Linked DNA regions of Drosophila melanogaster. The protein of the gene in region 2 purifies or fractionates together with the protein of the main gene of each other region. This does not show direct contact. Each region holds a gene or a part of one and is shown on either strand. Other genes may lie near its edges.

Region 1 (6,478 bases), on a different chromosome or scaffold from region 2:
CAGTAACAGCAGTTGGTTCGATGCCGAATATATGATTAAGATCAGTAGGCTCTTCTCCAAACAACATGGCCAACTCCTGGGCCACAGCATCTTCGGTTTCGGAGTAGAGAGATTCTTGATTGGCTAGGGGCTTATTCTCTGGGGTCATGATCTTACTACGGCAATGTGGGCAATGCGTTTCGTTCTGAACTTCCGACCGTTCGAGACTAGCCTGAAACATATCGATTTTTCTACGCAGCTCATAGCTATCATCATCGTAGTCCTCCGTAGGAGTTATGTGGCCATTCTGGGCTTCTATGACGGTTGTTTGTGTGGCCTTATCCACCAGACGGTGGTCTGTTTTTACGGGCACAGCATCCTCTCCAGCTGCATGCTGCATTTGTTCAAATAGAATGTTGGCCAAACGGCATTCCTGAGTGTTCCTACGTACCGCAGCTATCTGTCGGTATACAACTTATATGAACATGGCATAATATATGTATCTGGGAACCTTGTACCGTTTTGACCATGGCTCTTTGGTAGATCTGTGCCGCCATGGAAGCCTTCTTCGCCTTGTTCTCCAGTTGCTCCAAGCTCGCGGGAATGCACGCCCAGGCTGTGGGCTTGTGGCGATTACGGGATTGGTTGGCCCAGGCGCAGACATTCTCCTGCAGCTGGCGCTCCAAATAGAGCACATATTGCTTGCGCACCTACGCAAAATAAACAAAAAAGTTCGGAAATAAACAAAAGTCTTCCCCAACAAATATTACATAGTTGGCTTGCTAAGACATACCACGTCGGTGAGCACCACAAAATCGTTACTTCCTTCGTGTGTCATATTATTTCGTTGGTCACGGCGTTATATTCTTCACTTCAATTGACTTTACGCATTTTGGCGGAGTTCTTAAACGGTTAAGTCAGATTTTCAGTCAAATGGGAATTTAAACAATTTGACGGAGCTGCCACCCTGTGAGGAACATATGCTTCCCGGAATAGTATGACCAGACCGTGTGAGCCAATAAGCTTCCTTTAGAACTTTTCGAAGTTTACAACCAGGATCAGACGAGACAGTAAAAAAATAAACAATAAAAATTGAAGTGTATCCACCTGAAAAACAAAAACACCGTTTACTTGTTGTCAATAAAGTTTAAGAATAATATCAAGTTTGAAGTCTAGACTACAATAGATGTTTATTTTAGAAAGTATTTTAATTTTACACGTTCGAGCTGCATGTTATTGAAATAATTCATTAAAGGAATTTCTTGAGGCAAGCACAGAGTCAGTTCCTATTTTGATTATGTAAATATACACGACACGCATATATGTACAATACAAGTTCCATTACAAAGAAAAATAAGCAACTACGCGATACGATAAACGAGAGTTGATTTTTGCAGAGCCAACGGAATCGTATGTCCCGTTTTGTTTATTACAAATCGTTATTTTGAACAACAACAAAATTAAGCGTGAGGAGAAACTATTATAAATATATATGCGGCCAATATTTGGCTTAATTTTGAATATCAATCGATCATCGCTCCACTTCGATTTAGCATCGCCCTACCAGCTAGTCCAGAAACATGTTGTCGTCGTCAAAGGTAAAGATGTTGTTGCGTGCTGCCTGGGCGGGATTAGCATCCGGACGTGTTCGGCCGCCTTCCGCCGCTGCCTGACTGGGATTATTAGCCGGCGAGGGATTGTCCGTTCCTGTGGCGGTGCTGGCCGATCTCCTTTCGGAATTACTGCCATCGGCCGCCATCTCTGGTCCGAAGGCATCGAGCATGACAAATTCGTCGTCCGCATCGTTGCCATCGTCTGCCAGTGACTTGCGGCATATGGGGCAGGTGCTGTGCAGGTTTAGCCAAGGCACGATGCAGTTCTCGTGATACAGGTGCGAGCAGGGCAGCTTGCGTACCGTCTCGTCAATCTTGAAGTCGTCCCAGCATATAGAGCACTGGATCTTGCGGTTTACCTCCTCGGCATTGATCTGCACATTGGGTATCTCGTTTATGCGCTGCGCCGACAATGGCGGCGGTCCTGAAGTTTCCATTTGGTTGAGCATTTGGGTGACAATGGTGTCTAGTCCCTCTCGGCCCCACGCATAATCTCCCGGGTTTCCCATGAAGAACATGTGCGAGTTACCGCCGCCGCCTACACCTCCTCCACCGGGTCCAGTTACTATTTCGGCCGTGGCGCCGGCCAGTGGCAGGCTCTGCAGAAAATCAAAGAGAACATTGTCCAGTCGGTCCAAATTTGCCGGACGCACTCGTCCGCCGGCGGTCAGGCCGCGGGCAGAGTCACTACCCGAGGGACCACCAAAGCCGCCTAGATGCAGCACGTTGCTGTGCCGTCTGTTTGGCTCGATGGTAATTTCCAAGTTGGGCACATTCCGCATGTTTAGCAGCGACACAATATCGTTACGCAGCGACTCAACATTCACCTGAGATCCGCTCGATGAGCTGCCTCTGCTCAGGGTGTCGTGTGAGCCAGAAGAGCCACTACCGCTGCTTCCGGATCTGGCACTGCCGGATGCTCCAGCCGTCGAAGAATCCATCTCCGGCGCATTTGCCGGCAGCTCCTCCACGAAACCGTTGGCGCACAGCGGACAGGTGAAGTCTGAGTTGGGAATGTTGATCTCCACGTTGCACATGTGGCAGAAGAATCGCTTGGCTTCCGCGGGGCGGTCCTCCACAACCATTGCCTCTGCCATCCTGCGGTAGGTTCTTTATTTCCTGGGCAACGGCTCCACTGACGATTGTGCAAGACTGTCGCCTTCCGATGATGTAGGCTGCTTGCGGCTGTAGACGTTGATGTGACAAGAGGAGGACAAGGTACACGCGCCTAGCTTTACCCGGTCATTGGGTTCAGTCGGAACAATTGGGAGTTTAAGGGATAGAATTTAATTTTTCTATAAATAAGGGCCCCTTACAAAGTGGCCTTTGCCGCAGAGGAGAATAAATCCCAACTGATTGACGCGGCCTGGTCACACTGAAAGCTAATACTGGCATATTAACATTTGGATCTTTTATTACTTCAAAAGGATCCAAATGATAAGAAAAATGCGTTTTAACATTCGCGGAGATATTTTTGCATTTTTAAACATTTTATAACTTTAACTTGTGTTTAAAAATACTAATACTTAAAAAATACTTAAAAAACGCGATTCTTTTTGAAATCTCTTTAGTAGGCGTTGCCAGTTCTATACAGCCAGTCAGTATTAGCCCATCTTACACTCGCAGTCTGGCAACGCAGAGCAGAAACAAAAAGTCATCTTCCCAGGCGGCTTTTAGCATTTTGCAAAATTTCCATTTTTCTGCTGATTAAATTGAGCTAAGCGAATAGCAACGACACCATGTCGATTCTAGCCTACAACGGAGGATGTGTAGTGGCCATGCGCGGAAAGGACTGCGTGGCGATTGCCACGGATCACCGATTCGGCATTCAGGCTCAGACGATCTCCACGGACTTCAAGAAGGTGTTCCACATCGGCCCACGGATGTTCCTCGGGCTCACAGGCCTGCAGACGGACATCCTTACTGTTCGCGATCGCCTGATGTTCCGCAAGAATCTGTACGAGACACGCGAAAACCGTGAAATGTGTCCCAAGCCCTTCTCGGCCATGATGTCCAGCTTTCTGTACGAGCACCGCTTTGGCCCGTACTTCATTGAGCCGGTCGTTGCTGGCCTGGATCCCAAGACCATGGAGCCTTTTATCTGCAACATGGACCTGATCGGCTGCCCCAACGCACCCGATGACTTCGTTGTGGCCGGCACCTGTGCGGAGCAATTGTATGGCATGTGCGAAACCCTGTGGAAACCCGATCTCGAGCCGGACCAGCTGTTTGAGGTCATCGCCCAGTCCATTGTGAACGCATTCGATCGCGACGCCATGAGCGGTTGGGGTGCCACCGTCTACATTATCGAGAAGGACAAGATCACGGAGCGCACACTGAAGACCCGCATGGACTAGATGATGTTAGAGGTTCCCTTGGTGATTTTGTATACATTAACCGAAATACACATACAAATAAAATTTGTTTAGGTACAACATGTGCGTATTTCTTTTCCGTATAACGTAATAACACCAGAATTAAATGCGTAATAACACCAGAATTAAATGCGATCTAATTATTGTTTTTCAATTTCAAAAGCATAACTTTAAGTCGTATTATATTATTGCTCTTCTGTCCACTCGGTGGATTTCTTGGCCAACAACATGGCAGCCTCCTCGGTTTTTGCCCCGCCAATAAATCCTGTGTGATGGATGAATTCGAGATCTTTGATGCTCGCCTTATCGCATAGTTCATCGTCCATCAGTCCGCGCCAAGGAGTGGGCAGAAATTTGCGGCCCAGATAGCTGCCAGGCGTCACTGGAACTCCGGCCACTCGCCAACTATTGCCGCTGTTGAAGACGACCAGCTTGGGCACACCCTCCACCTTGTACTCCTTTTCAAGATCGAACAGATGAGACTTCCAGGGGCAGAAATTCTTCAACACAAGAATCTCGCCGGTGGGATGGACGTTCTTGGCATTTTTAAGAGCCTCTCGTACGTGATCCCGGGCTGGAATCCAGGAACATGATACCTCCACAACGTTGTCCACAAACTCACGACCTGCAGTATCCATCGCCTGTCTGAATCGGTCTTCGATGTCTACGCCAGTTTCCTGCCAGGACGGATTCAGTTTGGCAATGCGGGCAGATAGATGAGTGGAGATTTTGTATATAGGCTCAACGCCCTCGAACATGGGCACTCCATTATCAATTGCGTCCAGTTCGTTGATAAAATTCCTATAGATCTGAATAAAGGCCGTTTGCAGGTTTTCCGGTGAGAGTTTAATTCCCTTTTCGCGCTGCAGGATGCTCTGTATAACACGCTCGCCATAGTGACAGTAGACCAGTCCAGCACTGCTTAGCCTGGAGGGGATTACATTGGATTATACGGGTTCATTTACGCTAACACCACGAATTCACCTGACAACGTTGTAGTCCTCGCTTACATCTGGGCGAACGGAACTAAAAGTCTCCTTGAAGGTTATTTGGTGGTGATCGTACAATTTCTTGGCATGATCATAAACGCCGCCCACGTCGACAATTATATCGCACTTCTCCTTCAAAGCCTTGTTGTCCCGACTGCGGAAAATCTCTGCGTTTTTGTACTCATCCAATTGCTTGAGCATAAAACATGCGACCAACTCGTCGCAGTGAAAAGTGCCGCTGTGTGTGCCGATCCAAAGGGGAGAGCGTTTTGGTGGGGTAACTCCAGTCATTATAGATAGTTTTCCTGCTTCAAAACATTCAGTTAAGCCCAGATATTTCAATTAATTTCGGATTGTAACCAAAAACTTACGAAAACGAGGTAACAATCGGAACATTAGCGACGGTCTTTTCCTCCATTTAATATCGATATCACAAGTTTTTATAACTTGATATGGCAACACGCGTTCAGCTTAAATATATAAAAACTGCAGCGTGGCAGCACTGGTAACGGTTTTTTAAGCCGCAAACAATTAACAACATTTTAATTAAATACGTTTTATAGGCAAGTTGGATTTTAATATAATAATATATGAAAATTCAGTGAAATCTGTACCAAGCACTGCCAGCTTATCAAAGAACTTCGCCCCACACCAATCGATTGCATGGGCGTTTGTGCTTATCCAATAAATTAGCATTCGCTTGCTAATTTGTAAAACAACAACTCATAGGGACCACATCAATTTTTTGGCTGCTTAGTAGAGAATTATTGGCTGAAAATTTTAGTAAGCCTTTGGAACTCAAGACCCACGAATGGATACATTGGATAAAATTGACTAACCACAAGGATTTACCAAAATGGCAGAAGCCCGTTTGCGCCGAAATATAAGTCGGCAAGTACCCGCAATGTAAGAGTGATTAGTTTAAAAGATCATTAAAAACGCGCGGGAATCGGAAAGCTTAAAAATACATTACTGACCCACTGCGTGGCATTGCTTATATAATCGTTATAAGTTATTTAAATTTTACATTTCCGTTAATTGTGCGCTGAAACTGACGAACAATAATTAAAACCGAAATAGTAGGCAAACGGTCTATGTATGCGTTTAAAACATAAATCACCGCCGACAACAATGATCACGTGTATGAGCGCGAACAAAACGTTAAATTCAAATTGTTACACAGGCATTTTTCCCGTTGTCAGCATCCCATGACCTTCGAAAAGATGCTAAGCTCGGAAATTGAGTGGAAAAGGAAGTGCCTGTGTAAACGAAACTCGTTTGGAAAACACACTTCACTATCTCCAATTGGAATGCGAAATTCAGCTCGAATTAAAGTTCAATTTGCCCCGACGTCTACGTCACGCGGCCAAATCAAAAATTTCACAGGGCTTATTGTGGTACTAATCGATGCAGACACGCTTATCAAAATCTGGACTCGTTTCGACCTCAGCTTCTTGCAATTAAGCTTATCATACAGATTACGTTAGAAGTTCATTGCCACTGAGCGAAAAATGCGCTTGTT
Region 2 (10,007 bases):
TTCTTCAGTACATTGGTGATATTTAGGTACATATTTTGATAAGCACTTGTTTGAACAAATTTCTATATTATAAATTACGAGAGAAATAAAATATTAACCACAAAACTCTGTTGAATCTGAACTACTGGCACACGGGTTAAATTCCGCCATGAATGCTAAGGTTCCTTGGTGTTATATTGCCAATCAGCTGCGGAAACCACCCCACCCACTCGCACACCAAGGCCAGTCTCATTTTCCCCCACACCGCATGCTCCTTGGCCATCCGTAGTTTATGGCACAAAGGGGACTTGGCTTCAATTTTCTTTATATTACAGCTTGATTTAATTTGACGTGAGACTTGCTCTGGGGCCCTGTTCTTGACCAGACCGAAATTAGAAATGTAGCCATGCAATGCGGAAACTCGTACTTGAATACATTTCTAATTCTGATTCTGAAGTGAAGCGATTACAGGTTACATTCGGGAAAATTCAAATGTTGCTTAATGAAAATATGAACAATTGGAAAAAGCAAATGTCATTTACCAGCTGCCAAGAGCAGCGACTTATCAATCTGCCCGATTGATATAATTTCATAAGGCGACCTTTGCCCCCGCCCACAACAACAAAAAAAAAAAAACACTTTCAATGTAGTGCCACGCCCACCCACTGTGACAGGAAAAACTTTTGGTGCAAAAAAGTAATAAAAAGTAACGGAAAGCGTTAGCTTAATAACAAATGGAAAGCGGAAAACGAGAGGGCAGTGCTGGTCGAAAAAAAGGGAATGATAATGAAAATGAAAATGCATAAACAGAAATCGTTGACAAGGCGGTGGGCGGAATGTACTGGGCGCTTAGATGAAGGACGGCTGCGTGGAAAACTCATTAAAACTTTTCACAGCCCATTTAAAAGCAATTTGTAAATTGTAAAACTTGCACTTGGACCGCGCAAAGTCGGTGAAAAACGTTAATAATTATTATTTATACTTTCACGCCAAGCATAATCCATATTGTAAGCGAAATGTAGGCTGAGCATTTTAATACAATTAACTGTTTGTAATTTGTACATCAATTTTCTCAAAATGCTTAATTGGGAATCAAACATTTAAACATAGCATATATCCTGACAACAAGCTTACAAAAACATCTTTTATTATTAAAAAAAAAATCTACAAACTTTAAGCAAGGTATTTTTTTGAAAATACTGTAATTAATCATTCAATTGCTTGCTAAAAACTCAGTTAAAAAAAAAAAAAATCCTCAAAGAGAATGGTGCACTCGGCAATCTGCCACTGCCCATTTCCGTGGCATCTTTTCAGTCCGGAAAATAAGGGCTCGTCGCAATCACTTTGAGCCCGTGGAAAGGCTCACAATCGCAGACATTAAATCAAATTTCCGCACAATTCCGGCAAGGGGTATGCGAAAAATTGTGTTAGCTGCGGTTGGCTTTCCTTCGCAGCCTTCTGCTTATTTTACTTCCACTACCGATGCCACAGCGCCACTTAAATATTCAAAGCGAAAAGTTGCCCTACACCTTTGCGTCTTGGCTGACTTTCCCCTGTTTTCCGTGTTTTCTTTTCTTTATTATTCAAACGCCGCTTTTCATGTGCAGTGCCCAAAAATTCCCACAGGATGCAGTCAAAGGCGGTGGGGTGATTAAGGGTTGGTGTGGGGTTAGGGGCGAAAAGGTTGATGGGTGAATTGTATTTCACATGTGCAGTTCTTTAAACGTTTTTATAGCGCTCATCTCGCTCATGCCCCACACGCTTTACATTGTGGGCAAGAGTCTAGGCAATTCCCTGGAGATATTATACCTTTCGGTTAGGTTAGGATAGCAAAGAATGTTCAAAAACAATATAAATAAAACAGATTAATATATTTAGTACAAATTCAAAAGAACCGCCTAAGTGGTTTTTAGGGCTGCCAGACAAGAAAAAAATTCGTGCACTCTGGTTTGAGTCAATGCTAACAGTGCTGTATTCTTCTTTGTGTTTGCCACTGAAATAATAATTTGGGTATTTTAGGACATTTTGTGTACTATATGCTGAGCTGGCAACTTATCTATTTTGTAGACATATGCAGCTATTATATTTTAAACTTCAGACAAATTAATATAATATATTATATTTTAATCTTAAGACAAGTTGTTATAATATATTTTTGTTATAATATATTTTAAGCTTCAGAAAAAAGGTTATTTATCTGCATATTCCAATTTTTGTAATCGTTACCAAACTCAATAAAATAATTTTCAACTGCTCCATACAATACATATCATTTTTGACAGATCGCTTAATTTTTGCTTTAAAACGGAATTTATTTATCAATACCTGCTAGTTTAGCTTTTTACAAGATGGCATTTGGCTGCTCTTTCACTCCGAGAGTTGGCAACACTGCCACACTGTCAAATTCCAGTAATTATTCTCGTCCACTGCTGTTGTTGAATTGCAAAGTCGCTCGGCGCGTTAGCATAGAAGCCCAGCATATATTTGCCCGATCCGAAAGCAGGCGGAGATCAGTGAAAACGTATACATATTTACCGCTAGTTGAGCAGTGCGAAAACGTGTCCGGAAAAGCCAAAGGCCAACGACAGCGAGTGCGAGCGAGAGAGCAGGTGACAGCGACACCGACAAGATTCCCCGCCTTCCCCCCTCCACCAACGAACCCTTTTCGACTGTTTTTTTGCACGGCACGGGGAAAACCGAAAGAAAAACGAGATTTTCAATTGATTTGCGACGCAGTCCGGCCGGAAAATGCTCATAAACCTTAAGGTGAAGACCTTAGATGCGCGCATCCACGAATTCAGCATCGACAATGAGGTAATGTTTGAGGTTGTGTGTCCAGGTCTAGGGGCTTCTTTATATCCATGCACCCCACCCATTTCCAGCTCACCATCCGCCAGTTCAAGGACCAAATAGCCGAGAAGACTAACATTGCGGCGGAAAACCAGCGTATCATCTACCAGGGTCGCGTTCTGGTCGATGATAAGCAGGTGAAGGAATATGGTGAGTCATGCCCCCGGGAGCACCCACATATATATATGCACTTATATCTAATACAACAATATCAATGCCCATGCAGATGTGGATGGCAAGGTGCTCCATGTGGCCGAACGACCACCATTCTCGCAGCGCGGAGCCAATGCCCGCAACAATGATGAACCCATGCGAACCTTCCGCAATGTGGCACGTCCGCCGCCGCCCGGAATGCGTACTTCTCCGTACTTCCGCGCCCTCGATGGAATGCTGGTGGGCACCATGGCCATACCGGTGAACAATGGTCCAGTAGCTGGGGTAAGCCATTAAGATGAAAGCTCTTTCAACACGCGTATTTAAACGTATCTTAGCAGACACGTCCTCCACCGAATCGTTATCCCAACTCGTCGTCCTTCTGCATTAACCGCATCACGGTCGCCCTGCACATGATCGATTGCGCTGACAATATAGCAGCTTATCTGGAAAATCCTGCCGTTGGCCTGAACAATCAATCACTGGACATTCTGCAGCGCGGTCGCTGGTCGATGGAGTCCACAGTCGTGGAAGTAGGTGTCTCCTCGACTGATCTGCCACGCAACAATAACATCATCGATATGGTCCAAGATGCCGTGACCGCTGCTCTTTCGCATACAGGAGCACGCAACTATACGGTGGTTCAGCTGCCCACGGTTTATACCAATGAGAATGGCGAGACGAGCCAGCAGAGAACAGCCGAAGCTATAACAAGTGAGGGAGCAGCCAGTGGAGCTGCAAGTAATGCTAGTGGTGAAACCACAGCTGCTACTGTGATTATCGAGGATGTTATCGAAACGGACGACGAAGTGGCCGATGGAGCATCAGATCGTTCGGTCACGCCAACACCAGAGCCGGAGGCGGAAGGAGCAGTTGGTGGCCAGCAAGTCACTGCAGCAGAGACTCCCACATCCTCGGTTGGATCAGCAAATGACGCGGCTGCCGAAGGCGGCAACAACTCAGGACCCAGGCGACGCACTCGTCCTCAGGTGTTGGCCCAAGTTATTCAGCACTATCGTGGCGTACAGGCTCGCTTGGCGCCTTTTGTTGATCGGTACTATGAGATTCTCCAGAATGATCCCACTTTTGAGGAGAGTGTAAGTTAATAAGCCGAGCTCTTATAAGCCTATTAAAACATTAAATTCCTTTTTTAGGACACCGATGGTCGCGAGAACGCACAGCGCATCTTCGATCGCGTCTCGGAGGCTTTCCACTACCTTTCGCACGCCCAGCACGCTATATCCGATTTAATGCTTGACCTGTCGCAGCCAGGGCCACGTGTGCTCACCTGCCGACCCATTCTCGTTGAGCAGAGCGGTTACATACGCTCCAATAACATCTTCACGCCCAACTTTTTGGCACCGCCCTCGGGTATTATCAACGAGCCTTTCCGCAATAGAGCACCTGGTTCTGCCTCTGCAGCTGGCACTCAAACGGCCACCACAGCGGGCACTCAAACGCCCACCAGCGCGGGCACTCCAACTGCTGTGGCACCTTCGCAGGCTGCCAATTTGCAGGCGGCCACCGATGCCAGTCGCAGTGCAGCGGCCATGGCGGAGATCGCCAGTCGAGCTGCTGGAGCCGCTGCGGAAATGGCTGCCGGAGCTGCCAGTGCGGCTGCTGGAGCTGCGAATGCGGCTGCCGCCGCCGCTCGCGATTTATCCAGTGATCAAGTAGAGGATCCCATCGACGAGCCTATGGTGGGGCCAAATGCTGCAGGTGCTGAAACACTAGCACAAGAGCAACAGCGTCTCGAAATGGGTAAGAAACTTTATACAAACACTGTATGCAGATGAGGCTGTGCAAAATCAAATTCACTCATGGCCTTAGACAAGGAATTCGTGTCTCTGAATCGTAAATATTCCCGTATTATTTGTTGAAAATATTCTAGATCACGACCACGATCAAGCTCAAAGTGAAACTCCCGAACGAGAAACCCGACCAGTGCCTAGGCTGCGTGTCTATGTGCCAGTGACTTTGCCACCGCCCAGTATGTTTTGATTGTTCGGTTGAATCCAACGCCTCAGTCATGGCAGACTAACCATAATCTTAGCTGCTCACTCACTGCATCCCTACTTTGGTTTCACTTTCACTTTGCTAGTTTGATTCTTTTACTGACCCGGCCCTAAACAAATTAACCCTTGCTATACTGAACGCTTCAAAGAGCTGTTACTGCTGCTTTACAGATCCCCAATTGGAAATGGCCCGAATTATTCAGGCAATGGTCAATGGTCAACGACCGAACGATATCCATGTGGAATTCAATGCCCCCAACGTCATGTCGATTAACTTGCCCGTGCATGTGATGACGACCGTGCGACAGGCTCCGGCAGCTGGATCGAACGAAACAGCAGATCAGTCTGCGTCCGAATCCTCCTCCCCTGAAAGTGCGCCTGCGTCGGGCAATGGAGAGTCTCCAAATGCAGCTTCAACATCAAGTGGAACACGCAGTGGCGATCAGAGGGCCAATACCTTGCCCACCACGGCCACCCAAACGCGCTCGACATCAAGACCACAGATTCAGATTGGCGGAAACAACAACTGGGGCGGACGCATTGCTCCGACACACACGGCATTCGACCGCTTTCTGCCTTGCAATAGTCATCACATTCGGGAACCAGAGCAGCTGCTCCAAAACAACAGTACCAGTCGCAGCACCTCGACAGCACCAGCAGGAGGAGCCACCGTTGTTCCGCCCACATCTGCTGCAGTAACTCGTCCTGGTGAGTACGGCTCCCATCCGGGGAAATCTAGCAAACACTACCTTATGTCCACGATCCATTTCGCCAATCCACCAATCCATTTCATTTGCACACTCACCAACCGGAGATGGAAAGCCAAGTGTATCAAAAACCTGTCGGATCAGGGCGCGATAAATCTTTAAATGCTATACGATTTTAAAATTTTTACAAAATTTAATAGTTAACTATACTAAAGAACTATTTATTTGCTATCTCGACCTCCGACTGGCCTCCATCTCTGACATTAATTTCCATTTTATCCATATCATCATTTAGTCACCACTGGTCGCATCCAACGCGGCAGTAACACAATCCGCCCAATGTGGTCGTCGCGTCGCCAGCGACCAGCCAGCGAGCAACTAAGCAACCTGGGACCGGCAGCCTGGGCGCAGGCGCAGACCCAAACAACTCATATACCAAGTGCCCACGTTGGTGCTGGCAGTACCAATGGGGCCGGAGTCGGAGCCGGGAGAGTGCGGCCCGTTGGAGGATCGACCATCAATCGTGATCGGCTGGCGACTCGAACGGCCCACGTTGGCGGTGGCAGCACCAACGGAGGCTTGCCCTCTGGCCGAAGGGGGCGACTACAGGCCGCCACCAGTCGCCTGTCCAGACATTTACCCACCCAACTCGCTAATTTTTTGATTAATAATATGAGAAATAATGCGCCAACAGCTTCGGTAGGCAGTGCAGTTGCCGCCGTCGGAGATACGGCCGCCTCACCATCAGGAGAAGCTGCCCCAATTGCTTCAACCACGCCAGCTGCTCCGCTACAAACTGTTTTGCCGACATCCACACCCACTCCTCGCGGAGACTCGAACAACCTGCGTTCGCAACTGCGCACCTTCCTCAACGACAGCCTGTTTGTCGGAGTACCCATCAACGAGCAGACTATTCCGGGGGCCATTGGTCGCGCACTAGACTGGTTCGGGGAGAGCCTGGTCTACCTGCCGCAGTACGAGCGTCCGGAGTACAACTCGCGCGACTCTGTGTGCAACATCCTGCGTGTCAGCCTCCGTTTGATCATCGAGCTTTGTAATGGAGCTCCGGCCGGTGTAGATAGTGCTCAATTCGAGCAAAGTCTCAAACAGATTTGTGACCAATTCCGCAAGCGGCTATACAGCGTTCTCTTCCTGTGCCTTGGAAGCGCGAATGCGGAGCTCTATTGGCGCCAGCTAATGCGCCTCCTTTGCGCACCGATGCGATCCAGTAAGTTGACACCAAAAGTGATCGTAAGTATACTGGTTAACTCAATATTTCTTTTGCAGACTTCCGCAACGAAGCCCTGCAGTTTTTGTGCATCTACATAGACCCCACGATTCCCGCCCAAACTGACACAGTGGATGCCCAACAGTTCCTGGTCTTGCGCAGCATTCAAGCAGCTCCTCCAACAGCTGCCGACGAGGTAGGTTTCCAAACTATTTTCCATGCCCAGAAACTTATGCACTAATAGCCATTTGTGGCGCCGCCTCCTTTTGCTTTCAACCCACAACAGCAGCAGCTGCAAGAGCAAACTCTGGACACGGATGTTGAGATGTCCGAAGTGACCGCCAGCGGCAGCAACAGTTCACCGGCAGACGAGCTACCAGCTGTGATTGTGGGCTCAGAGCCTTGGCACATGAGTTTCCCCAATGATTGGTTGCCTGTGATAACGCGCGACCTACAGACCCAGGCAGAGGTAGGTTATTCCGTACAACTTTCTGGAATTACACTAAACTATGTCTCAATCTATGTATCCTGCAGCAGAGTAATCGTCCCCAGCCGCCCTTCTCGGATGCCTACATCTCGGGCATGTCCGCCAAGCGCCGCAAGATAATTCAGTCGGAAAAGCCGACTGCCAGCGTGGAGTGTCTCATTGCTAATGGAGTGCAGAGGGCTATCCAGAGCGTCGGCTTGGGTGGAAGCAATGGTGGTAGCGCCTTAAACGCGTCGATCAGTATGGATACCGTAATCGGATCCATTGCTCACGACTCCACCATTCAGGCCGCCTACACGGATGCGGTGCGCAATAGTTTAAAAGAGCGTACCGAGCGGGATGTGGATTTTAAGACCAGCAAGTATCCGCAGATTGCCAAGTTCACCGAGCAAAAGTAGGGGGCAGATACGGAGACGGAAGCCTGGCCACCTAATGCTTCTTGTACATTTTACTTTAATAAATTGTATTTAATTTAGTTAATGGTTAAGTTCTGTTTAAATCGAGAAGACGACGAAGATTGCGACAACACCAACACACGGAGTGGACCCTTAGCAAATGCTTCAAACTATTTAGAATAATAATATCCAACTGATATTTATCCACACACACACAGAGATACACACACACAATGGGTCAAGACGCAACAGAGCCCAATCAAAAACAATTTTTGCGGTGCATGAATGAGCAAAATAAACACACATATTAACCGAAACAATGGCGATTGGAATTGGATTAAATGGACTTGGATATTAGACCACACACCGAGCGGAATGCTTTCAATTGTCCCAAATGGCGGTGGCGTCCCCGCGTCGGATGACGTGCTGCAAAATCAGAACAGACCCGTAGACCCGTGACGACAGCCAAATTCCGAATTCCAGCCAAGTATTTTGGCCGGCGCCAAATCGCCATTGACGTGAGCCGATGGCACATGATTGCTGGACGGCCGATGACGACCAATCCGGAATGTGCAGATCTATTCAAGTGGATAAGCCTTCAGCAGAAGCATTACCGGAGGCATATCCACACCATCCCATCGTACCAGCAACCCGCACCATCCCATTTCATCGTCATCGAAGTCCGAAGCCTACGCTACTCTTGTTATTGTTGTCGCCTGCAATCGAAACACGAAAATGTGTCACATAAAAATGTTGAGAATATTTATGTGCAAAAAAAATAAAATAAAAACAAAAAGAAATACCAAGAAGCCGTAAAGAAAAGAAAACATATGAATAAATAATAATTATAAATATTTGCCGCTTTTCTTTAAATATTTACTCGAGATGATTGGGCGCCAAAAATAGATTGGCTACGTAATCGAGGTATATTTTCGTACCTACAGTTATTGATTACAGTGCGGTTCAGCACTGTAACACCACAATTGGCATCTGCTAAGCTCGGCAGTTGCTGTGCTAAAGAGTTTAACATTTTAGTTTATTCCAAGCTGCCAGTTTAGATCATAATTTAAATAACTATCTGCAATTCTTAGAAAATTATTCTGCGTGCGTTCTAATAAATTTATGTTAGATATATTCATAAGAATCATGACAATTTGAAAACTATAAACAGTTTATTTAAAAAAACCTTCCAGAGATATGGACATTATTTGATAGGAAAAACTGTGGAATTCGGAAAATATGTTCATAAAAGAAGAGTTTATCCCATTTATTAACAGATCTAAAACAGGAAGTAGTTCAATTACGAGAGGAATATTATTAATTGAAACATTATTGGATTGATCGAATAAAAGCCGGTCATAAGATTTAATTTTTTAAATCCCTCTAAATGAGTGAGCCCGGCTGTATGTAATTAAGTTAATCTCTCCGACGGCCCTAAACATAACATAATCGTGCCAAGGTTCCTCGGGAGCTTGCAGTCTGCATGGAAAATGGAGATGGATGTGTTGGCTGGGCATCAGAAGTCACTCAGCCAGTGGCCGCCCCCCGATGATCCCGATGATTAATTGCAGCCAGAACTGCAGACGACGACCACGACGACGACGAGGAGGAGGAGACATCGTTGGCACGCGCAATCCGTGGAATTTGCGGAATTTGTGGCGAGCGCATTTAAGGCGCCCAGTGTTTAATTATGCATGCGGTCCCAGAACTTGGAGATAAATTAAGGCAGCGGACTTTGATGCATGGCTCCTGCTCCCGGCTCCCTGCTCTCTGTCGCCTGCTGCCTGCTGCCTGATCCCATCCCCGCCAGAGTTTTGGAATCGCTCTGGCGCCAGTGGAAAATTTTCACTTGGCCCAATCTCAATTGGGCTGCGCAGATCCTTAAACAAGCCGGTTCCATTCAAACACTGCCAACGATCCTATCAGATACGATACGTTCCGATATGATACGATCCAAAAAGTCATAATTAAAAACATAGCTTGAGAGCGAGCGAGGCGAGTGCCAGATGTGTGTCTATGTAAAAGGACAATTTGATGGGAGTGCGTAGAGCAAGAGCAGCACATATGTAAGTACCAACATGTGTCCACGATAATATAATGATGCCCCATACATAGAACTGGGTTCCGAAGAAGATCCCAGCGGCAACATGGGCAAGCAAGTAGCATGTAGCAAGTAGCAACAAACATCAGCAC

Evidence for each region. The genes of interacting proteins can lie anywhere in the genome.
Region 1: the proteins of CG7546 (region 2) and Iru purify together in Drosophila melanogaster (affinity purification with western blotting, with the first as the bait; one study listed by BioGRID). This does not show direct contact.

Annotation. Positions count from the first base shown.
Region 1 is NT_033777.3:9,002,925-9,009,402, reverse strand, and holds Iru (iruka), read right to left. Parts: upstream 2,948-6,478; 5' UTR 2,690-2,947; coding exon 1,547-2,689; 3' UTR 1,373-1,546; downstream 1-1,372. Other genes in the region: CG11983 (uncharacterized protein), read right to left, coding at 1-439, 498-689, 773-817; Prosbeta3 (proteasome beta3 subunit), read left to right, coding at 3,332-3,949; CG11980 (uncharacterized protein), read right to left, coding at 4,153-4,894, 4,952-5,264, 5,328-5,352; CG31100 (uncharacterized protein), read left to right, coding at 5,813-5,862. UniProt on the Drosophila melanogaster protein: E3 ubiquitin-protein ligase that mediates E2-dependent, 'Lys-48'- and/or 'Lys-63'-linked polyubiquitination of substrates. Recognizes miRNA-empty Ago1 and triggers its degradation via polyubiquitination independently of the Bag6 complex.
Region 2 is NT_037436.4:7,508,650-7,518,656, forward strand, and holds CG7546 (uncharacterized protein), read left to right. Parts: upstream 1-2,336; 5' UTR 2,337-2,727; coding exon 2,728-2,793; exon of another isoform or gene 2,794-2,861; coding exon 2,862-2,979; exon of another isoform or gene 2,980-3,055; coding exon 3,056-3,267; exon of another isoform or gene 3,268-3,320; coding exon of another isoform or gene 3,321-3,323; coding exon 3,324-4,079; exon of another isoform or gene 4,080-4,136; coding exon 4,137-4,743; intron 4,744-4,873; coding exon 4,874-4,972; intron 4,973-5,168; coding exon 5,169-5,705; intron 5,706-5,999; coding exon 6,000-6,932; intron 6,933-6,991; coding exon 6,992-7,128; intron 7,129-7,176; coding exon 7,177-7,401; intron 7,402-7,466; coding exon 7,467-7,817; 3' UTR 7,818-8,667; downstream 8,668-10,007.